2 linked regions of the Nothobranchius furzeri genome follow. The protein of the gene in region 1 interacts with the protein of each later gene in a biochemical or structural test. Links are inferred from orthologs where the notes say so. Each region holds a gene or a part of one and is shown in the gene's direction. Other genes may lie near its edges. The genes, in order: prkcz and pard6b.

What was found.
Region 2: the proteins of prkcz (region 1) and pard6b form a complex in vitro, tested with the Homo sapiens proteins (2 studies listed by BioGRID). The link is inferred for Nothobranchius furzeri from reciprocal best matches to the Homo sapiens genes PRKCZ and PARD6B.

The regions. Positions count from the first base shown.
Region 1 is NC_091755.1:44,872,832-44,885,682, forward strand, and holds the start of prkcz (protein kinase C zeta type), read left to right. Parts: upstream 1-6,476; 5' UTR 6,477-6,696; coding exon 6,697-6,773; intron 6,774-12,851. UniProt on the Homo sapiens protein: Calcium- and diacylglycerol-independent serine/threonine-protein kinase that functions in phosphatidylinositol 3-kinase (PI3K) pathway and mitogen-activated protein (MAP) kinase cascade, and is involved in NF-kappa-B activation, mitogenic signaling, cell proliferation, cell polarity, inflammatory response and maintenance of long-term potentiation (LTP).
Region 2 is NC_091755.1:48,087,223-48,099,432, reverse strand, and holds the end of pard6b (partitioning defective 6 homolog beta), read left to right. Parts: intron 1-4,921; exon of another isoform or gene 4,922-5,038; coding exon of another isoform or gene 5,039-5,300; intron 5,301-6,195; coding exon 6,196-7,112; 3' UTR 7,113-7,250; downstream 7,251-12,210. Other genes in the region: arfgef2 (brefeldin A-inhibited guanine nucleotide-exchange protein 2), read left to right, coding at 10,814-10,976. UniProt on the Homo sapiens protein: Adapter protein involved in asymmetrical cell division and cell polarization processes. Probably involved in formation of epithelial tight junctions.

The DNA.
Region 1 (12,851 bases):
GAGATGATTTCCTCCGGGCACGAGGGTGGTAGAAGGACCTCGATGCGACCAAATCAGTCCTGGGTTGTCTCCGTGGGTCACACGACTGATGAAACTATTGGCGTCTCAAAGTCCGTAACTCTGAAGGAGTTTCTCGTCTTAACTCAGAAATCAGTAACTTCTGGAAGGAGTTTTCGTCAGCTGGTTACAGTTTACGTTTATTCTTAGCTGTTCTTATCGGCGCGACAGAACAGCTTGGCAGAGGATCAGGGCGGCCGGCCCGTCTCCTCGATGGTGTTGGTTCAAGAACTGGCGTGAAAGCTGTTGCAGGTTGGTTTACAAAGACCTCAGAACACTCCCACTCTCAGCGAGAAGGCTTTGGTCATGCGTCAAAAACTGATGGCAGTTACCCTTTACCCTGGATAAACTCTGTGTTAGATGGATAAGATGGAGCTGACCTTCTGATTTGCTGGAACACACATTACTGATCATCAACCATAGTAATCATTATTATACCCAAAGCATAATAAGTCATTTCAGTAATTAAAATACATTTATACTCAACCAAGTGATTATTTATGATGATTATAATAAACAGTAATAAAATCAAAGAGTTTATTAATATTATTTAATTATTATCGTGAACTTGAAGTGTCCTGGGACGGAGCAGCAGCAGATATGTTCTTCAGACATCATGACTCCTGGGTTAATCTGTGGACGTAAAAGTTACAGCCTGACCCAGCTTGACCCAGCTGGGTAAATGTGACCTTTGCCACTAATTAGAGAACCTTGATGACGCTACAAGACCCCCCTTTGTCAATGGCAGGTGGTCGCAGAGAACCACCTGTCGTTGGCAAAGGGCAGATTCATAACCACGTCTGTGTTCATCTGTGCCACCCAGGACGTTCTAACCAAGGACCCGACTCTCCTGAAGAAGAATGAAGAAACTAAACGAGATCACCAGGAATCGGAGACTTGAAGAGAAAAAGACGTAACCTCCATCGTGGGAGAAGCGACGACGAGCTGAGAGTCTAAAGACCAAAGCTGAGAGAACCGCCGAAGTTTCTGCTGCCTATTAGACGTAGTTATTATATTCATGAACAAACCAGTGACAGTCCCAAGCTCCGCCTACTGGTCATTTCTGGGTTTGGGAACATGTGAGTTAAACAACCGGGGGGTGGGGGGGGCTTGTGCGGCATGCTGTTGGTGCCGCTAGTTTTAAACAGCTCATCAGACCACAGGAGTTCTCAGGAAGGCAGAAACCCCCGAGCGCGTGGACAGCGTTCAAAATGCACAGACAAGTCCGTAGCCCCCCAATCCCAGTCGGACCTCTGAGGAAGAGGTCTGAAAAAGAGTCACCTCAGAATGTAAAATGCGTATGTGACCCTGGTGTGAAACCAAATTCTGGTCCCGAACCAGACTACCGACCCGGATGTGAAAGCAGTGTAAGATGTTGACTCTTGACCTAATTTTGACTTGTGTACAAAACAAAAATAACTCCTGTTCTGTTGCCCGCGGTGACGTTCCGGGGTGATTCTGGTGCTTAAAGAGGGTTCAGTAAAACCAAACATTTTTAACAAGTTTATTCTTGTAGATGATTTTAAAAAATCTGTATTATTTTTTATTCAACGCTGTGCTTTAACTAACCTTTTTAAATAAAGTCTTGTGGTTTTATTTTGAAAATCCAAGTTTTTTCCCATACAGATAATTATTTTTGTGCTCAATGAAAACCTTTTTATTTTTTCCGTCATGAATAATTTTCTGGAGGTTTCTTTGTTCTTCTGGAGATCTTTTGGATCAAACGAAATGTTCTTTTCCGCCCTTCCTCGGGTATTCCTGCTCTGCTCGTGTCCGACTCCAACCAGAACCAGGTTCTGTCTAACAGCTGCCACAGACTCACCTACAGATGTGTTTCTGCCTTCTTAATGGTTTATCTTCATCATGAGTGATGAATTCACCAGTGAGCAGCAACTGAAGCACGTCACAGGCAGCATGAGGTTCTTATGAAAAGTCCTCAGTAACATCGTTTAGTTTCCACCACTGCTCAGTTTTAGAGACATGTCGACGACTTCATCTTAGGAATGCTTGCCTGGTTTTTAAGGTTTACATGGACGAGCTCCTCCCTCTGACAGATTGGATTAAATCACGTCTACAAGTGGAACGTCCACCAGGGCCACAGTTAGAGGAGACTGTGAGGGGCCTCACAGGCACACTGCTTTCGGGCACACCGCACTATCATTAATGGGACAAAATATTGGAACAGCCTAAGAAAGAGAATTCCTTCACATTCCAACTTAAACTCCGGCTGAAGGAAAACCAAACCTGAGTCCATCAGTAGTTTGTCCTGACAGTGACGCGTTTCCTTTCTGGTTTTCCTAGTTTTAAACAAAACTTTGCTTTCTGCTACTTTTAGGGACTGCAGACGTAAGTCAGCACTGATGCTACAATCTGGCATATTTACTGATACAATTTGTTGCTGAAGTTCATTAATATGCACTGTCCCTAGTAATTCAATTTCAATTCAAGTTTATTTATAAAGCGCCAAATCACGACAAGAGTCGTCTCAAGGCACTTCACATAATAAACATTCCAATTCAGGTCAGTTCATTAAGCCAATCAGAAATAATGTTTCCTACATAAGGAACCCAGCAAATTACATCAAGTCACTGACTAGTACCAGTGACTATACAGCAATCCTCATACTAAGCAAGCATGCAGCGACAGTGGAGAGGAAAACTCCCTTTTAAAAGGAAGAAACCTCCAGAGAATCCTGGCTCAGTATAAGCAGCCATCCTCCACGACTCACTGGGGATGGAGAAGACACACACACACACACGCACACAAAGACAAAGTAATGTGTCTAGTTAAATTGTGATGTCTTAGTAAATATTCTATTTGGTGAGAGATAAAGTTTTATTGTATTTATCCTAGTGGATCTATAATTAAACGGGTAAACTAGTAGTAGCACATCCAACGTCAAGGAAAGCAAAAAGTTATTATCAGGAGAGGGAGAATGTTTAAGTGGTTAGCATCAGTGTGCTAGTCGATGGCCCCCTCCATGAGGCCACCACAGCTCAGCAGAACATCATTGTAGGTTCTTCTGGGGAGAGAAACACTTAGAGAGAAAATAAAGTTAACAGCTGAAATAGCAGGAAATAATACAGTTAAAGAGCAGATTGTAGAATAAAGCAGTAGAGTGTGGAAAGTGGTCAGTGTGTCCTCCAGCAGTCTAAGCCTATAGCAGCATAACTACAGAGATAACTCTGGATAACCTATCCTATTTAGATGGAGGCATGTTGGAGGCAGGGCAAGGGAGAGCCGTCTTTACCGACTGTACACTCCACCTCCCTCTACTCCCCCACTTGTCCAGATTTAGGCTAACATCAGATTTTAACCATAGGCCCTATCAAATAAAATGTTTTAAGCCTATTCTTAAAAGTAGACAAGGTGTCTGCCTCACGGACTAAAGCTGGGAGCTGGTTCCACAGGAGAGGAGCCTGATAACTAAAAGATCTGCCTCCCATCCTAATTTTAGATATTCTGGGAACCACCAGTAGACCTGCAGTCTGAGAGCGAAGTGCTCGGTTAGGAACATATGGAACAATCAGATTACTGATGTATGATGGAGCTTGATTATTAAGAGCTTTATATGTGAGAAGAAGGATCTTAAAATCTATTCTGAATTTAACAGGTAGCCAATGTAGGGAAGCTAAGACAGGAGAGATATGATCTCTCTTTTTAATTCTCATCAGAACTCTAGCTGCAGCATTTTGGACAAGCTGAAGACTTTTAACTACATTCTGTGGACTTCCTGAGAGTAATGAATTACAGTAATCCAGTCTTGATGTAATGAATGCATGAACTAGTTTTTCAGCATCACTCCTGGAAAGTATGCTTCTAATCTTAGCAATATTCCGAAGGTGGAAAAAGGAAATCCTACAAACCTGTTTAACCTGGGATTTGAATGACATGTCCTGGTCAAAGATAACACCAAGGTTCCTTACTTTGTTCTCGGAGATTAATGTAATGCCATTCAGGTCAGGCGATTGGCTAAGCAATTTCCTTTTCTGGATTTCTGGTCCAAAGATGAGAACTTCCGTCTTGTCTTGATTTAAAAGCAAAAAGTTTAGAGTCATCCAATTTTTTATGTCCTCAAGACAAGCCTGTAATCTACCCAACCGATTAGGTTCATCAGGGTTAATGGATAAATATAACTGAGTATCGTCAGCATAACAGTGGAAGTTTATCCCATGCTGTCTAATGATTTTACCAATTGGGAGCATATATATAGTAAAAAGAATTGGTCCAAGCACTGAACCCTGTGGTACTCCGCAAGTAACCCTGGAGTATGAAGAAGATTTGTCATGTACATTTACAAAATGAAATCTGTCAGACAGGTAGGGTTTAAACCAGCCTAATGCTGTTCCTTTGATCCCTACAACATGTTCAAGTCTTTCTAAAAGAACATTGTGATCAACTGTGTCAAAGGCAGCACTGAGATCTAACAAGACTAGAACAGACACAAGATTCTTATCTGAGGCCATGAGAATATCATTTGTAACTCTCACTAATGCAGTTTCAGTGCTGTGATACTCTCTAAAACCAGACTGAAATTCCTCAAACAGAGCATTGGTGTTTAAATGCTCACATACTTGGATGGCCACTATTTTCTCCAGGACTTTGGATAAAAATGGAAGGTTAGATATTGGTCTATAATTCATTGGGTCATCTGGATCCAGAGAAGGCTTCTTAAGTGAAGGTTTGATTACAGCAACCTTAAAATCCTGTGGTACATACCCATACCCATTTACTAAGGATAGATTGATTATATCTAGAATGGGGGCAGTAACCAAAGGAAATGCATCTTTAAATAATTTGGTTGGGATTGGATCCAAAATGCAAGTTGAAGGTTTAGATGAAGCTAATATTTTTGATAACTCTGAAAGCTCAACTGGATCAAAACGGTTCAAGCACAGATGAGGTTCTACAGTTACCTCTGATGCTGCCTCACTTACTGAGGAAGAAGAAGTCGCATTAGGGAGGATGCAAAAGATTTAGTTTCTAATAGAATTAATTTTACTTGTAAAAAATCCCATGAAGTCATTGCTGCTGAGGGCTAAGGGAATAGATGGCTCAGAGCTATGATTCTGTGTAAGTTTAGCAACTGTACTGAAAAGAAATCATGCATGTTACAGAGAAAAGTGCCAATAAAATCAGATTATAGACGGAGCAAAGAATCCATTCAAGTAGCGGAAATGTAAATTTTGATACAGCCGAGAGATAAAAATGATCATTATTGGCTATTATTATTTTTATAATCAATTAGGCTTATATTAATTTAAAATCATAACTAGTGAATCACACTATAAAATACTAGAACAAACAAAAAAACAAACATCTGTTCAGTTGTATAAACATTTAACCCGAGGGCAAAAACAAACATCAGGTTTAGATTATTTCAGTTTCCATAAATTTAAATTTTTGATGTTTCTGGCAGAATTTTTAAGTTCAAGTTTACTGATTTTTTGTGTCAGCAAATGGTTTGTGTGTCATATTTTAAATGTATTTTATTTTGTTTTACATAAAACTAAACACAAACATTTATAATAATAATAGTTCATTTTATTTAAAAGCGCATTTCTTGACACCCAAGGACACTTTACAGCCATGGGAAAAATAAAACAAGATCAACACATTACAAAAAATATAAAAACACTAAGATATAAAAATGAAAACAATGAAATTAAAACTATGTGGTTTAGAGTTATTGAGTTTAGAAATGGATTGTAAAGCCTTTTATCACAGTACATGTCTAACAATGATAAACACTGACAAATTTACAGTTATGAAACGAATAATGAAATTATTCGTTTAAATTCATAAACTAAAATTAAACTTTTCTAAAATCGGTGCCACAAATCAGCCAGCAGGTGGCGCTTAATGACTATTTCCGTGTTGAACGAAATTCTGTTTAGGCAGATTTTTGTGTCTTAGTTACGGCTGCAAGTTATTTAAAGAAAATAAAAAGCTTTTATAAATATTTACTGTTTTATTTTTCAGAATAACGTGTTCACTGATAGGAGCTCACAGATCCTAGCGTAGTGAACTAGACCAAATACTTCCTTTGCAAATGTTAAATTATAAATGTATTTAGTCTGGCTTGTCAGACTACCCAGATCCCAGAATAAGGAAGAAGACACAAAGTACGCTGATAAATCTTTCCGTACATCAACCAGAACGAATCTGCACCATCCCGATATGAATACGCGACTTTCTCCGCCGCGAGGACGTCGACGGTAGCAGCGGGACAGGTGAATTTAGATTACCGTAACCATAGTGAGGCGGAACGAATCTGTCAAGTTAAATTACAGACGACTTCACAAGTGAGACACTTGTTTTCAAAATAAAATCATTTCCTTCTGTTGAAACACAAGTTACAATCCAAATGACGCAGTATTTCTTTTAATTTGAAATCCAACTTCCGGAACTTTTACCGCCACTCAAGCTAACTTGCTAACGTCTTCGTCATCGAAGCATTAAATGTTTCCCAAACGATAGAAACTTCTCCGAAGCTCTTCTACCTTTCTTCAAAGACGCTGGAGTAAACCCAGGCCCGGACCTCGTTATGTAAGAACTTTTAGTTCCGAGGCGTGACAGCAAGTTCTGGGCCACAAACTTTGGACCTGTTCCGTTGGGCCAGTTTAACCCAACCGAACCATGCATATGCTAGCGTCAAACGGAACCATCATGGACCTGGACTCGGGCTGGGTCAAAGTGAAGGCACATTATGGAGGGTAAGTGAGTCCGCGAGAGGTGTAAGCAGGTGTCTGGCAGGATTTATCCGGATGGAGGGGACGGGGAGACACCTGTGGAATGGAGGCTTCCAGGATGGTGTTCTGGATCAGTTTGTACCCTGGTCATCCATAGACCAGGTCTGGTCTGAGACCTGCCTTCAACTGCCTCTCTCCCAAGGTGTAGAGGAGGAAAATACTTGTTAGGAAAACGTTTAAAGGCTGCCTGAATAAGACAAACATGGACTTTTGTCTTGTAAGATAAAATAGTGACAGTTTGTCACCACTGGAGCGTTTATAGGCCCTTATTTAAAGGTTGCTCATAACCTAAAGGTCATGTAGGGTTTTACAATGAGTTCAACATACTAGAAAGCAAAGGCATGAATAACCTTTTTTCCAATAACATACATGGCTGTGGAAGCTCTTGGATGAAGGCTGGTTGGTTGGTTGGTTGGTGGACCACCTTTGGTGGTGTGTTCGTCACCTTCTGATGGTTTTTAAGGCTCGCCTGAAGACCCACTTTTCTGTCAAGGCTTTCCAGGATTAGCATTTTAAAAATGGTTTTGTTGCCCGGCCTCTTATTGGTTTGCTGTATTTTATGCTCTGTTTTTACTTTTAACTGTCCTATGTTGGTTTCACCATAGTTACATTTGATTTGATGCTTTTATTTTTTATTTGTGTTGTGTTCAGCACCTTGGGCGTCCGCGCCGGTCGCAGAAGGGCCTTTTTAAACAAATACATGCAAATGAAGTGGAATCTTTGTGTTGGGCAGCAGAAACACTTTAGAGCAGAAAAATAAATACAAACTTAGTGATTTGAAGCATTTGGGCTCAGATTAAATGTCAAGCTCTCAATGAAGCTAGAATTTAATGCAAAACGACTGTGTGTGTGTGTGTGTGTGTGTGTGTGTGTGTGTGTGTGTGTGTGTGTGTGTGTGTGTGTGTGTGTGTGTGTGTGTGTGTGTGTGAGTGATTTAATGTACTGCTGTAGTCAGGATGCAGGTAAACAAAACATCCCTCAGGTCTGAGAATTCCCATCACTGCTTTTTCCCTGTAGGACACACACACACACGCACGCACGCACGCACGCACGCACGCACGCACGCACACACACACACACACGTTGACGTGTGGTGAAATCTAAGACCCCGCCCCTATTTAAAGTGGGTTTTTCATGTTTGGGTAGATAAATTCAAGTCACGATCTTCAGCGCCGTGCAGCTCAGAGAGAGTATTGCAGCTGCGGAGGCCTACTCACCGGTCTCCAGCCTCTCTAGCCTAACCCACACAGAGCTTATAATGCTTAGATAATGCTGTGTACTGCTGGTGTAGTTATAAGTTATAACTGCACCAGCAGTACACAGCATTTATAGTTATGACTGTTATCAACCTACCAGTGCTGAAGGAAGCAAGCTAGTTCTGCTAGATCTGGAAGCTGTCACCATTCACACAGGGAGGAGGGGTGACGTCAGCCGGGAGGTCAGGTGTTGTGAGAAATTGTGTTCCCCTGAAATATTCTGCCGTCGGGAGGTCACACTTCAGGCTACCTTCACAACATTTGTGATCGACTTTAATTGGAAAATGATGTCATGTAATAATGTCATGTTTGTGATGTTTTTACATCCATTGGGAGCCTAAGTCACTTCCGGACCACGGGTCCCCGGAAGAACGAATAAATGTCAACGGGGCTAAAAACGCTGTTTTCTCATTCCGCTTGTTTTGTGACATGGATTTCACATATGATGTCCGTGAATGTTAAAGAACATTTTGATACCGAGAACGCGCTTATTTTCTAACGGGTAAACACTATTTTAGGTGTTGTGTGAAAATAAGTCCAGGACTACAAATGCGCTTCACCAGAGTGATGTCATCGAACCAGACATAGAGGAAACTGAGGGGAAATGGCTGTAAGTTCAGCAAACTTCCCACAGGAGGAAAGAACCACCATAAATCTGGTCATGTGGTGAGTAGCAGCTACGCTAGGGGGAGGAGCTTATATGGTGACATCATATATGTGACGTGCTGATTTCTGGTGCGTAGTCATGCTAATCACAAACTTTTACAAGCTGATAAATCTCAAAGTACGTGACTGGCGTGGTGGAAACACGTCATTACTTTTCATGTAAACAGCAGTCCAACACGTGTGATCCAGGGCTAGAAAATGGCTCTGTAGCCCCGTTGACTTAACTTCATGTTTTTGTTCTTCCGGGACCCGTGATGCAGAGGTGACTTAGGCTCCTGATGTGTCCTCCTGAAACCAATAAAGAAGGTACAGTAAAAACATCCTTGTTCACTATTATTTATCGTTAATTATGTAAAAGGATGTAATCTCACTCAGGTTAACCATCTTTAATTCAGGGGAGTTTAGTCCTCATAATGGACAAAACTTCTGTCAATCCAGAAATATTTGCTCTCTACTGCCTAAAGGAAACAGAGTATTTCAGGGGAACATAAATTCCCACAACACCTGTTTCACGTGGATGAGAGCAGCTTCGTAAACAAGCTTGCTCCCAGCCAACGGATCTGGAAAAAGAAAGAAAGAAAACGATCTTTTATGGAGCGATCACTGGCAGCGCCATGGCTGGTGAAGGAGGGTTAGCGAGCCGGGAGGACACTGGAGATCAAGCAAACAATGCTGACTTTTAGTCACCAGATACTGGCGTGAGCCACGGCTGGCGAGCCGGGGAGGCACTGTGTGCTGTGAACACGGACCACCAGCCGAAGGAGACCCGCGTCCAAGTTAACGTTTGAGAAGAAGCCCTTGGAGAAGCACGTCATCTCTGTGACGCGTGGAGAACCACGTCGCCGTTAGTAACGTGTTTGTGGAGATCACATAAACGACGCTGATTTAGCCACTGGCTAGCAGACGAGCGCTGGAGCGTGTTGGGGAGACGGCAGGCTGCAGGAAGAGAGACTCCAGGCTTCCAGGGTGCACTGCTGCCCTCTGCTGGTTCTTTCAGGTTACAGTCATAGTCCAAACACACAAACCGGAGCTCGTATGTCCCTCAACAGCTACTGTATTTCAAGATGGTGGATGACCACGGAGCGTCGACCACAGTTTATGTATTTAAAACGTAAACTTTACAGCTGAGAGGAATATTTAGACTTGATGTTGGTGAGAAATGTTAATTAAAAAGGAGAAGTTGGTGAACTGGAAACAGGATTTATAGTAAACAGGTAAAATATTACACACTGGGGCTTTAAATAGTGGCGGAGGGCTTAGATTTCACCTGATGGTAAAGCATGTAGAAATCCTGTTGGCAGCTCTGCTTCCAGACCGTGAAGTGAACCTGGTGCAGAAACACCAGGAGGTGGTTACGAGGTGGTTCCTGCTTCTGAACACAAACCAGCAGCAGGATAATCAGTTTGTTACATTTATTAGAAAATTCATCAGTCAGACACAGAAGCATTGTTTCTGTGGAAAATCCTGATCCTCTTTATGGTTTAGCAGCTCATTTCTTCTACTGTGTGTGTGTGCATGTGTGTGTGTGTGTGTGTGTGTGTGCATGTGTGTGTGTGCGCGCAGGAGGAGCTAGAGCCAGACTCTAGGCCAGATCAGTTCAGCATGTGTTGATGTATAAAACATAATTATGTGTAAAATAGATAAATTTTCACACTTGCCTTAACTTGGAATAACAGAAGTTTATAAATCTGATGACTGTGTGATTTATGTGTTCATAGATGGTGAAAAACAATAAGAATGAAAGTTTCTACCGTGTCAAAGAAAATCCAAACGGGTTCAGATGAAGGCAGCTGGACTTCTTTGGTTTCATGAAGACGTTTGTCTTCTCACCCGAGGAGCTTTGCCGGTTCAGACTGGAATATGGGAGAGTCAAGCTCATGGCTGTAGCTGTCTGTTGTTGTTTAACGAGCAGAAACTACTGCGAGTACCCCTCCTCTCCATCGCCTGATGAGTCGTTGTGTTGATCAGACACAGGAAGGTGCAAGCTAGACTGAAGCTGCTCAGGAATGAGACTCAAAGCTGCATTATAGGTACTGGGCAGGTGAAATCTAAGCCCCGCCCCTATTTAAAGTGGGTTTTTCACGTTTGACATGGCTAGCTTCTTTTACTCCTCTCACACCATCTATCTTCTCTGTCCATGTTTACTTTGTCCTCTTCAAAGGTGTGTCCCTTGTCCTTCAGGTGTCGTCCCTTGCTGGCCGCGCCCCCTCCGCTGATCACCATGTCCCATGATTGGTCCAGCGTGTAGACTCCTTAGTCCCTGTTCATGGTCCTGGGTCCACGCCTCCTTGTTTCAACTGCTTCTGTGATCCATCTTTTAAACGTTATTGTTCTGTGTTTGTGATCCGTGTTTTGTCCCAGTATGCGGCAGTCCTGAGGGGAAAATGTCTTGTTGATGCCAGAGGTCAGAGGTGAATGGGCCGACTGATTCAAGCTGATAGAAGACCCTAACCCTCGTTACAACCGAGGAACGCAGCAAAGCATTTGTGAAGCCACAACACGCACAACCTTGAGGCGGATGGACTACAGCACCACTCATCTCCACTACAAACAGGAACAAGAGGCTACAATTAGCACCAGCTCACCAAAACTGGACAGTTGAAGACTGGAAAATGTTGCCTGCTCTGATGAGTCTCCGTTTCTGTTGAGACATTCAGATGGTCGAGTCAGAATTTGGCGTAAACAGAACGAGAACATGGATCCATCATGCCTTGTTACCACTGTGCAGGCTGGTGGTGGAGGTGTCATGGTGTGGGGGATGGTTTCTTGACACACTTTAGGCCCCTTAGTGCCAACTGGGCATGGTTTAAATGCCACGGGCTTCCTGAGCATTGTTTCTGACCATGTCCATCCCTTCATGACCACCATGTACCCGTCCTCTGATGGCTACTTCCAGCAGGTCATGAAGCTCCAGTCATTTCTAACTAGTTTCTTGTACATGACGATGAGTTCACTACTACAGCGACCCCCACGGTCACTAGATCTCACCCCGATAGAGCATCTTTGGGATGTGGTGGACCGGGAGCTTCGTGCCCTGGATGTGCATCCCACACATCTCCATCAGCTGCAAGATGCTGTCCTATCAATATGGCCGACATTTCTAAAGATGCTTTCAGCACCTTGTTGGATCAACGCCACGTAGAATTAAGGCCGTTCTGAGGGAGAAAGGGGGTCAAACACCGTATTAGTGTGGTGGTCCTGGTAATGCTCTAGGGGAGTGTAGATGTTTACCACTGAGTTAAATGAAACAGGTGTGGGTCTGATTTAGGACCACACCTGGGCGTAATTTAGGCTTCAATAATGAACCAGTCTGGGTGGCATGTGGAGCTGCAGTGGGAAGCTAGCCGTGTAAACTTCCTGCTGTCGTTGACAGTAGATCCACATTATTACACCTCGGTGAAGTTAGCTTTGTCCCAATTATGTAATATTCAAGCTCCAGTTCACACACCTGAGTGTGTTTGTGTGTGTTGTAGTTCCACACTCAGGTGTGTGGGTGTAGACGGGTGCTGTAGTTCCTACTGAGGAAGCCTGTCTGCTTCACCTCCAGTCCAGCTGAGGTTTACCTTTAACCTGACAAACCTGGCAGACGCCGTCTTACACACACACACATGTACACGCTCACACACACACACGCTCACACATGCACACACACACACACACACACACACATGCACACGCTCACTCATGCACATGCTCACACATGCACGCACACGCTCACTCATGCACATGCTCACACATGCACACACACACACATGCACACGCTCACTCATGCACATGCTCACACATGCACACACACACACACATGCACACACTCACTCATGCACACACACTCACATGCACACGCTCACTCATGCACATGCTCACACATGCACACACACACACACACACACACACACACACACATGCACACACTCACTCATGCACATGCTCACACATGCGCACGCACACACGCACATGCTCACACATGCACACGCTCACACACACATTCACTCATTCACACGCTCACACATGTACACGCTCACACACACACACGCTCACTCATGCACATGCTGACACATGCACACACACATGCACACGCTCACACATGCGCACGCACACACACACGCACATGCTCACACAT
Region 2 (12,210 bases), about 3.2 Mb from region 1:
AGGGGGCAGAAGTAGGAAACCTATTAAGTGTTACTTTAGATGACACGTATTACGACCGCTTGACATACATTGTAAACGTGCCATAAAATGACCACCGGTCCACCCATAGAGGATGTGCTGATGTGCCTTTATTTTTCCGCTGGTGTTTTGCATAAAAAACGTTGCGTGTAAAGCACCGCGCTGTGGAAGACGGCAGAACATTTCCTGTTTTTTGTTCTGGGATTTAAATAAATGCTATGATCAAATATGAGAAAAAAACTGATGACTGCCATTAAACAGAAGATTTCACATCCAAATGTTTATGTTTTCACCACAGAAGCTCTAAGAAACGATCCTTTTAGGTGATCTCAGTTGCTTTTCATCCATAAACCTATCAGTAAGGGCTGAGTGATTGTTATGCATCTACCTGCAGCTAACAGTCCAGCTGCAGTGTGAAACTGTTCCTAATATTGTGTCCATCAGTGATGCAGACGCTGGGCAGGAAGTGCTCTTGTGAAAACAAGAAGAAACGAAAGCAACAGATTATCTCAGAGGTTTAGTATTTATTTGAGTTCTGATTCATTAGATCTGTAATTGTGTCACCCTCGCGCTAGCCGTAGTTATAACCTTCCTGTTTCTGTAACGGTAATAAGCATTTCCTACATTATTATAACGCTGCAGCTGGAGACTTCCTGGCCCTGCTGAAGCTGGGGTGTCGTGTCAGCTTCCTGGTGGGATATAATGGATTAGCAGTAATATTGCTGGAGATAATTATGCTGCAAAGAAAGTGTCTCATTATCCCGTATGGATCTTGTGATCCAGTGTGCACCAGCGGGGAAGTGGATACTCAAGACGTGCGTGTAATGGGAGTATTGGAGTGAGTGTACGCGTGAATGCATCACTGGAGAAGGGGATTATATTCTCCCCCTCAGTAGATACACTCATGTATAATGTTGTTAGATAGATTTTAATCTGTCTGGTAAAAATGATGTTATTTGATGCTCGTGAGAACCATCGATGGCTCCTTCTACCTTATAACTGGTGAAGCGGAAATGATGCGTCCAGAGCTTGTCTGGAAAACCCATGTGTGCCATCCTTCTTGGTCGGACTTGTTCAAGCATCAGGAAGGAGTTGAGTTAGTTGTTGATCCTGTTTGTGCTAGCGTATCGGTTACGTCCTGCAGAGATGAGAGGTTAAGTATCACCGCGTGCGTCCTTATTAAGCTTTCATTTTCTCCCCCTCTGCTTTGCTTCCTAACTCCATTCAAAGTGTGGGAAACCAAAGCAGCCACTGCATAACTGGAATTTCTAACCGGCTGATTACGTTCTCTGTGTGGGTTGGGGGGGGGGACCGATTCGGCTAACGCCGCAGCTCGATGCTAAGGTGACTTATTTGAGATGGAGAGAAACAAAGCAGGCTAACTGGGTCGTTTTCCTTTCATTGATTAGAAATGAAGTTATGCGTTTAAGTTTGAGATCTCATGCAGATTAAAGCAAAACCAAAAACCGTTCAGGACAAAATATCCTGGAAGCAAATGAAGCTTTATTTTTATTTTTCATTACTTTTAATGCAGAGACTTTTGGAATAGAGACCAAGAACCTGATCTGGCATTGTTTTTGTTTCTCATTTAAGGTCTTTTCATTGAAAGAATCTGGAAGTTTCCAAGTGGCATCGGTAATGAAGTTCAGTTACTGTAGCGTCCTCTCCTAACAAGCATTCAGTTTCATTTAAAAGCAATCCGGACGCAGTAATGATGCTTTTCTACATTTATAACCCATAGCTGTAATTAGGTGGTTGGGATGCATTTTGTACCAACATATTTAATAACTGACCAGTGGAGGGTTTAACTGTCCAGAAGCTAAGCTGGTAACACGGAGGCTAACTACTGGGTTATTATGAGACTCTGTAAACATATTTAAAACGTAAAGCTTAAAGAGCAAGTCACCCCCTACCAGATTGATGGTAAATGGCAAATGGCCTGAATTTGATGTAGCATCTTCTAGAGTCCTGGAACCCCTCAAGGCACTTTACAACACAATCAGTCATTCACCCATTCACACACACTGGTGGGGATGAGCTACCATGTAGCCACAGCTGCCCTGGGGCGCACTGACAGAGGCGAGGCTGCCGAGCACTGGCGCCACCGGTCCCTCCGACCACCACCAGCAGGCAACGTGGGTTAAGCGTCTTGGTCAAGGATACAACGACAGCGACAGACTTGAGTGGGGCTTGAACCTGCAACCTTCCGATTATGAGGCGAGCACTTAACTCCTGTGCCACCGTCACCCCAGATTCTAACTCCACTCCCACTTCCTGTTAAGCGCCTCGTGATTTTTATCTTGAGAGGCGCTATAGAAATGATTCTTTCTTCTTCTTCTTCTGTTTGAAAAAGGCAACAAATGCTGTTGCCTAGCAGACCGAGAGGGCGGAGCCGGTAACAAATACACACACAGGCTCTTAACGACATTGTGACATCATATGGTACCAGCTAACGTTCTAGGGTGCCTCTTAGCCAATAGCGATGGCAGATTTAAATTCAAATGCAGTGCAGAGTTTTTACCTGACAACGACACAACTCTGACAGTTTTAGGCAGAAAAAAGTGCAAAACTATTGACGACACGTGTCTGCAGCACGATTACACACATTTATATAGTTTATCAGAAAAAAAATGTTGATTTGGGGGTGACTTGCTCTTTAAATTATCGAGCACACCGGCAAATGTGTCTTCATCACACCTGCTTATGAAATTACTACGAAGTTGTGATTAAGGAACATTTAGTCTTTTTTCACGTGTTTTCTCAGGCTTGCCTCCATTAATCATTAGCTAAACACATACCTGTGCACTCTGTGGGTACAGCACGTCACAGACGAGCTGTGAAATGTTTACCAAGCGCTGCGTTACTAAAAGCAACGTTCTGTATGTCCTGCCTTTACTCAACCACACACAGCACCCTCAGAATAACCTCCGAGTCAGAGATGTGGTGGAAAGTTTGTTTTCATGCTGTAATCATCAGAACAGGGCCTTGTTCGGGTTAGGGGTCCTCTTTGATTCTAATGATTGATTAAATCAACCGTGCCCGTTCAGCTCATGTGGACAGAAGTAAGTTGGGTACTGGGTTAGGTTCTGATCCTGGATAAAGCCCCAAGCAGACAACACAAGTCAAACGTCCAAGTCCCATTCTCCAGTCTCCGTTTCCAGAATACAGGAGGATGCTGGGTGCAGCTGATGCTGTTAAACAAACACAAACGTGATGCTATCTCAACATTTACACCTGTTGTCGGTGCCCTTTCTGCCCTAGTTCCTAACGTAAGGCACCTACGTGACCGCTGTGGACCCTCCAGACTTCTGACAGACTTCTGTGCCGGTCAGGAGTGTTCTGGACTCTGACCCCACTGAGCGTTAAAGAGACAGAAGCCGCTGAGACCTAGATCAGAGATCCAGTGGGTAGCACTGGACTTATTCTACTGAAACCCCCTCATCTACTTCTGCTCAGGCAACAGCTTAGTAAGCTAGCACACCTAGCTACCACAGATCTGGCCAAACTTCCTGTCCAGCTTCTCTGAGCCAAAAAAGCGTTATTCATGCACATGGAGAGGTGTCAGCTGAGGAGGAGGGATGGTGAGAGGGCAGCTTGATGGACGGATCACGATCCAATCATGAATATCGGGACGTTCACCGTGATTGGATGAGGTTTTTCCAGGATCATACGTTTCAGATGCGATTAAAATTATTCCTTATTTTTTTAAATAACAACAGTTTATTGGTTTCCATTGGTATGTGAAGAGTAGTTGAAGCAAAATGTCCAAAATGCTCCAGAATAATATCTCTTGCTTAAATGCTTGCCTTCTTTATGCAAATAAACGATCACGCATGCCGCTGGAGCCGCTTGGTTTCTTGTTTCTGCTCCGTGTGAGCGCCACCGAGTAGCCCCGAGGGACCGTCATGTCCTATGACGTAAAAGATGTAAAAGAGTGAAACGAGACTGGGAACATCACCTTCTCACGTGCATGACTGCCTCCTGTGTACGCGCGTATCTGTGTGTGTGTGTGTGTGTGTGTGTGTGTGTGCGTGTGCGCGCTTTGTTGATTCTGTTACTACAACACACACAGAAGGAGACTTCCTGGTCCCCTGCGGAGCTGTTGCAGCTGCATGCCTTCACTGGGAGGACAGCTCGTGTGTTCAGGGCCGACACCGTTATCGTGAGCCTCAGTACACCAAACTTGTGCCTCACGGGAACTGAAATGTGAGACCGCCGCTCTTTCCCGGGACAATCGATCCTTTGTTTTGGTTTTGGAATGAGGTGGGGAGTGGTGCAGCACGTACCTGTCAGGACCTGACCGCTAGGATCCTCATCAGCCACCTGAGCAGATACCCAGATAGCTCACACTGAAGCAAGCTCATTCTAAAATGACGAAAGTGAGTGTTTCATTTAGAGACCACTTTCATCTGAAAACAGATTCATCCCAGTGTTATAAATAGGAAAAACGGTCTAAAAGGTGAGCGCTTTGATGTCTCTTTCACAGCGATACCGAGCCAAAAAAAGTCACAGATGTTAATGTTTACCGCCGTGTTTTATGCTGGTTAACTATTAGGAATCCAAGGTTCAGTTTGTGAGTTGGCCATGACCGAACACACCTCCTTATCAAAGACAGATATCGTTTTTTTAACTCGCCCAACAGAAAGTTTCTTCATTTGTTTGATCCAGTTCAAATTACAGATGTAAAGCATGCAGCTTATTTTGACTGTAAGACGCTGGGAAACGACGCGTTTGGCTCTTTCGGGTCTAGCTGAGACCGCTCGCGCCGCACCAAACCTCACGAATCAAAACAATAACTCTTCACCAGTGTGTTGCCTCATAAAGCTCAGTTCCACGAAGCCGCCGCACGGCCGTAAAAACACAACTCATCATTTTACGCTCGCAGTTTGAGCCGAAGGTGAAGTACAGGAAGCTTTTATTTATTCAGCTGGCGCTCCTGTTTCAGGGGGCAGAAGTTTGTAGGAGGAGTGTGGGGGTTGGGTTAATCACATGAGTCTTACTCATTAGTTCATTCACTGACATGTTTTTACTGTGTGGGCGTCGGACGAGCCCCCGCATCGTGAGAACAAACATCTCAGCTCTAAAGCCGATCTTCATCTGCATACGTCACACGTCACGTGATCAGGAAGCAGAACGTCCATGTGTTAGGAGATCGTTTTGGGTCGCTGCTGTAAAAAAAAGTGAGGCGCGAACCGGAAAAGCTTCTGCCGATCACAATTCAACAACGGATTATGAAAGAACGGATAACGCTCGAAACGCGCGGATTCTTCCTGATGTAAGAGGTGAGTCTCCGCTGTTTTGGTTGTGTTGGCGTCAACATCATCCTAGCGCGCAACATTCTGCGAGTCTTAATAAAACAGTAAAAACGGAGAGAAACGCTGGCAGCGAATGAGTTGTTATTCATAATATGCCAACGTCTCGCTTCTGATTGGCTACCAGCAGCAAGACTCTTCCGCTGCTTTCGTTTGTGATTTTATTGATGTTTTCTCTCCAAAAACAAAACAAGCCAGAATACCGGGGGTGCTAACGGTTAGCTTCTACTAGCTGAGACACGCTCTGCTCTCCTCTTGCTGTGGGCGGTCCTAAGCCCAGGTGGGCGGGGTCAGTGAGTACTAACTTCCTCTGTGACTGGCTCTGCTGCTAATGCAGGCGATGGGGGTTGAAGATGATGTTCACGTGTGAAACTAACGGTGAAGGTCACACTGTTTCTATGGAAACAAGGCCTTTAAAGCGGCAGTGTTTAAACACTAAAGCACACTTGCAAGTGTGAGGTCAGATGGTTCGGCCCATCTGTGCCACCAGTCATATGCCTCTTAAATAAATAACACAGCATGTGCTCTAAACACCATATGTCGGGTTGTTTTGGGTTGGAACGGGCCTGAAAGTCCTGATTTTGGTGCTGAGCGACTTGTTGGCTGGTGCAGCTTTTGCATCAGGCTGACCAGAGGATAGCTGCAAGGATCAACATCTTCTCTGTTCTTCTGCAACGCCTGAAGCCGAAAACGTTATTCCTGCTTCCAAACGTTCGTGATGCAACCGACCGTCAGCCTGAACAACCGTTTCATGTGCTGCCAGCTGATTACTAGAAAATTAACCAGTTTTGTTTCCCTCTCCCTCCTTTGGTCTGAAACTTTCCCCCATCTTCCCCTTCCCCTTCTTCCTTTTCCTGTTTTGCAGAGGAAGCTGACTACGCGGCGTTTGGCACAGACTCTCTGACCAGGAAGAAGAACACGGTTCTTTCAGCGGTTCTTCTTCGGCCCGACGCCAACAAGAAAAAGCCGCCGGTGATCATCAGCCTCCCGAAAGACTTCCGGCCCGTGTCTTCCATCATCGATGTGGACATCCTTCCAGAGACGCACCGCCGCGTTCGTCTGTACAAGCACGGCCAGGAAAAGCCGTTGGGGTTTTACATTCGCGATGGCTCGAGCGTGCGGGTCACCCCACAGGGCCTGGAGAAGGTCCCGGGGATCTTCATCTCACGCCTGGTGCCCGGCGGCTTGGCCGAGAGCACCGGCCTTCTGGCTGTTAACGACGAGGTTCTGGAAGTGAACGGCATCGAGGTGGCTGGGAAGTCTCTGGACCAGGTGACGGACATGATGATCGCTAACAGCCACAATCTCATCATCACCGTGAAGCCTGCCAATCAGCGAAACAACGTCGTTCGCTGTGGAGGAGGAGGGGGCGCTGCCTCTGGCAGTTCAGGTCGCTCGTCAGACAGCGGCGCCAGCTACTACGGCTACTCGGCGCACGGCGCCGTGGCTTCGATGCCAACGCACATCATCCAGAACTTTAGCGCCGGGGAACTGGAGAGCGACGAAGACGAGGACCTGGTGATTGAAGCGGGAGGCGAGGCTGAAGCCATCCGGCACGCTCCCTCTGACTACAGCATCCCTTCGGTGCCTCGCTACGAACCACACCTCAACCTCCGCTCCCACTTCAGCTCCGCCTACTCCATCAACGCCAACGGGACGCTGCATGGCAGTGGCAGCAGCGGGTCACCGAATAACATTAATGCTAATTCGGCCTCGCCGTCCCCAGACAGAGCAAAGGAGAGGCGGAGCCTGGAGGAGGATGGCACCGTTATTACGCTGTAGACCCAAACCGGAGAACAGAAAGAGACACCTCCACATGCTTCAGGAGGTGGTGGCAGAGTCACGGAGCAACATTTCAAACCTGTACCTGTACTCTTGAAACACATTTTAATGTAAACGTCCGCAAAAGTTCGTACATTCTAGTAACGTCCACATTCAACACTAATGCTTCTCTACATGCCAAGCTAGTGTGCCATAGTGCTGACCCACAGGCACACCAACGTCTTCAGCGTGGATCTAGTTTTAACCTTTTAACGGCGTGTTGAAGAGGTCCATGAGGAACATCAGTCACCTATCTGCTTGGTGGTTCCTACGGGGTAATGCCAAAGCAGTTGACCAAATCCTGACAAACGCGTTTTTAAGCGTTGGCTTGTGTTTCCTGGCCAGAAGACGTTTAACCACTGCTCATATTCGTTTTCCACTTTGTTTTTACATCGCTGTGATCAACGACGGACCGAAGAAGCCTGCGTTTTTAATCTTTGTGTCTTTTTTTTTTCTTCTCAGACCAAGTTCAAGTAGAGAAACGTTCCAAATTCACACCTGGATGGCCTCTTAAGCCATATCTCACTACCTGCTGGGGACAAAAGCAGTTTCCAAAATGCCTCAAAATCTTCACGAGGTCCTTTCAGTCGCGGGGCGGCGCTTCTCTGTTGCTTTTTGAACAAATTTACTTTCCATATGGTCTCCAGCTTGTCTGGAGCTACCCTCGGTTTAGTTTTCATCAGTCAGTAAGTACGAAACGATTTGGGGAGGTATTAAGCTCCTGGGACCGTTTTTTAATCTCGCCCTGCTGTTTGGGATGAGCAGAGCCTCGTGAACGTGGAGAAAAATATATTTATACATAACTTTAGTCCTTTAAGACGGCGTCCCTACCTGTGGACGCCGGTTCTCGGGGGTTTAGGACACTTTGTGGCTAAATTGCAGAATAAAATAAAAACTGTTTTTGGCTTTGCACAAGCGTCATGCACCCTTGTGACCCGGCCTTTATTTTATGCCTCCAACCGAAACTCGCAGCCCTTTGAGATAAAAACCTGTTTGTTTGTTTTGTTGTTGTTGTTGTTGCACTCCATAACACAACGTGGACCGTTTCCTGATGTACATTTGGGGATAAAGGAAGGTGACGTTGAACCTGAGCTTCCTCCTCGTTTTCGTCTGATCCAGACCCCGCCGAGTACGCCCCAGGACGCTTCCACGTTTCGTCTTTAAATCCATCAGCTGAAAGCCGTTTAAACATTTCAGTTTTACTTCGGTGAGTCCGTTTTTATTTGTATGAAGTGTCGATGATTATTCGTTATTACAGCCGCAGAGGCTGGTCGGTAATCCAAACATGACCTGGTTGGAAACAAAAACACGCTCGGCGGCGTTGGATGCAAGCAAATTAGTGTATTTGCTGAAGGTGAAGCTGATCTTTGTGTACCTGCGGATCATGTACTGTTGAAGTTGCTGCAGCAGCTTGGATATGATGATGTTCAAAGCAAAGAAGCCTTCAGAATTCGTTTGATCAGTTATTGTTCCCCCAAACGGCTCACGAACGTCTTTAGAATGAATCTAGTTTTGAAGCGGCAGGAAAAACTCCTCTGATCATGAAACGGATCGGTTACATTTATGGGAAGCGTCCGTTTCCGTTGCACGCTGCAGCAAACCGCCTCTGTGGAGTGAGAGCAGGTGGTCTATCGTGTCTACTATTGATTTTTTAAGCATTCGCTCTCCTGCTAAAGTGCTACGCCTTGCTTTAGCATTGATTTCTATCTTGCATATTAAAGTAAAATCAGCACACAGCCACTTTCAGGCTTCATGTGAGTCCGTGTGCACTCGTGGAGACACTTTTAGGATCATTATCATGCTAATTAGCCTCATTAGTAGCTCTGTTTATCCTCTGATGAACTTCTACGTTAGTGACTGGAATAAACATGGCTGCCTGCACAGGTACTGCCTTTGTCGGTGGAGCGCCAAGCTCAGTCGTTCCTAACTTTTCAGCCACGAATCACAACTCTTGAGTTGAAGTTTGGTTTTTCTACTTGTTGATAATTTATTGCCGGTGTCTCTGACTTCACCACAGGACACCGGGATTGTAACCACACCGACATTTTAATTTATTCTGTAATCCTGATAAATGTTCTTTCTTTTTCACGTTCTGATGTTTTTACATGTTCACACTTATTGTTTCCAGCATCAAAGTGGCGGTACGGTAGATATTTTACTGTCGGTTGTGGATCATTTCAGTTTCTGGTTTTAAATATCAAAAAGGAGATTAAATAAAAAGCTATTTTCTTCATACTGTGAATTATGATTTTGTGTGGCAGTGAAACGGTTCTGTTAGCAACCTGAAATGTTTCACTTGTCGGGTTTTGTAGGCAACAGGGCGATGATTTTTGCTGCCAGATAAATTCTCTACTATAGATTTGTAATGAAGAACGTCAGTATTTTCATATCGATGCTTTCTAAATATGCGATGTGCGTTTTTATCATTTGAAGGAGACTGTTTTATGATTGAAGTGGAGATTTAAGAATACATGTAAACCTGTAACTGGTGATCGGCAGAGCTGGATAAAATAAACTAAATATGTAGCAATGAGAACTGTTTGGTGTTTTTTAATGTGTGGAAACAAACGTGCAGAGTTTGCTTTAATCGACACAGGAAATCAGCAGGGTGTGTGTCGTCTGATCTGAATCTGAGCTATTCAACAGCTCGCCATTTTCTAATTGTTCGGATAAGCTAATAAATGCTAAGATTTGTCTAAAATGTGAAATACAATATGGTCAGTTTTACTGTGGGCTAATTATATATTACTGATATTTATTACTCATAATACTTAGAAGATGGATTTTAAAATAAGTTTGGTGCATTTTCAGTAAAGAAAAATTATCACGTCCTACTGATATTGTTCTTATATGTCTGTTAAAGGATCAGAGGATGTTAATGATCGTTATCACGAACAATGAACAAGTACACGTTTTAATTATGAAATTAATTACTTTTCTCATTCTTGTCAAAAAGAAATAGATTTGATTGATAACCAAAATAATTTTTCTGAATAATTTTTCTTGTGGCGCTTAAACATCTCTACTGGAAAAACAACCCTCACTATGTCTACTTTATGGAGAAATGCTAGAATAGTAAATTTTATTCTAAAAAGTAACTTAAATAACAAGACTATTCATTCGACCACAAATTAATCATCATCTTACTTGTAGAAAAAATTATTTACAATTTCACAAAATGTTAATTATGATTAATCGATTAATCAACTGTACATACAGACGCAGGGCGACCAGCTGTGTTGATAGTTTATTTAGCCGTAATGTGTTGCTGCCACCTGGTGGACACGTGGTGAACTACCATTCTTTTGTGCGCCGCTTAGATCATTAAAAGTTCAAAGCGCCTCTGAACAAGAACACTAAAATGATTTAAGTTACATTCGGAACATATTTCTAACACATTATAAAACCAATAAATTATATGCGGCCCTTTTTGGGAAGACACGTTTCAACAACTGCTTCTGTTGTCACGCCGCTAGCCTGGAGTGACAGCTGAGAATCACGTGACGTGACGTGTAACCAACATGGTGGCGCTGAGCTGAGACCGAAACGGACACCGACCGACCCGACACCCTGGCTTTCGTTAGCTTTCATCGTTACCTGCTCTTTGGCAGGGCCAGGCCGGTGATGACGGCCTGAGAGAGGATCGGTTACACGATCGAGAGATGCAGGAACAGCCACACGCGCCGCCGCAGCAGCACGCGCAGTCAGAAAACAGTAAAACCAAGAGCATGTTTCTGTCCAGGGCGCTGGAGAAAATCCTCGCTGATAAGGAGGTGAAGAGGAGCCAGAACAGCCAGCTGCGGAAAGCCTGTCAGGTGGCGCTCGGTACGTGACTCGTGTTGTTTTCTGAGCAGCTCGCCTGTTTTACGTCTTTATTCATTCCAACGTTTTATTTATGCTTAGCTTGATGGAGAGGAGCTACTTAATTAGCTTTAGCACCTTTAGCCTTTACCGTCTGCTCCTCTGCCCGTTGGCACCCTGACAGCGGGTGAATAATTATGAGTTAACACGGCTCTCGTACTTTATTATAAACATTTGTTCGTGTATTAAATTGTCACCACTGTCAGGTTATTCAAGGTTACTGGTAAAGATATTGTTAGCATGTTGCGGCTAGTTTAGCTAAACAGACCAATCCTGGTGTTGTACGTAGCACTGTCACCCAGCCAGACAGTCCAGTCCTGCATCTGTTGGCAGACCGTTTTAACATATAATCACACCTCTCAGAACTCCTCATTTGCGTCTGTCAGTAATGGCATTCCTTCTTGTCTAAACTACTTCCTTATCAAGAAAATTAAAGATATACAGAGTCGCATTCCTACTTGTGATCATACTTTCTTCAAGGTTCCTGAACAACTTTGAAAACCTCAGTTTAACATATCGGTTTAACATCCTTTACATGTTTTTAATGACCTTTGTTTATTTTAATGTGAATTTCAGTTAATTTAATCAATTGGAGTCAGAAATTGTGATCCGGATGTCCAGAAGTGCTTCTAATAAAATCATCGCTCGTTACTTCAGAGATCTAAAGCGTCCTTTTCCTCAGGATAAACTAAAATGTTATTTTTGTCTAGGATTTCTAGGACGACTAAATTGATTGTAGATATCTAAAATATGAGATACTTTCTATAGTAAGCATGCTTCTTTATCTATTTAACATAGCAGCAATGTTAATTCTATAGTTTAAATGTTTTAACTAATATCTGAAGCCCATCACAGAAAACTTCAAAACAAATTGGTGTGGTGTGGTTTTGCAGACATGATTAATGGAAACCAGACTGTTATATGATTAATCAGCCTGCCATATAAACACACAAGGTATTTCACTTCCTGCTTTTCCATTCAAACACACACGGGTAACGTTACACACGTCCAACTGTGCTGTTTGACCTGCGCTTGTACTTCAGACCAACCTGCTACCTCTTTGTTTGTCTGAACTATAAATCCTTCTTAACGTTTTAATACCGATGACTGCACGATAAAGGTGTGTTTCTGTAAAATAAACCAACAATACAATATAAAGGCTGATTTTTAACGATGAGGATTCAGTTAGATGCACTAA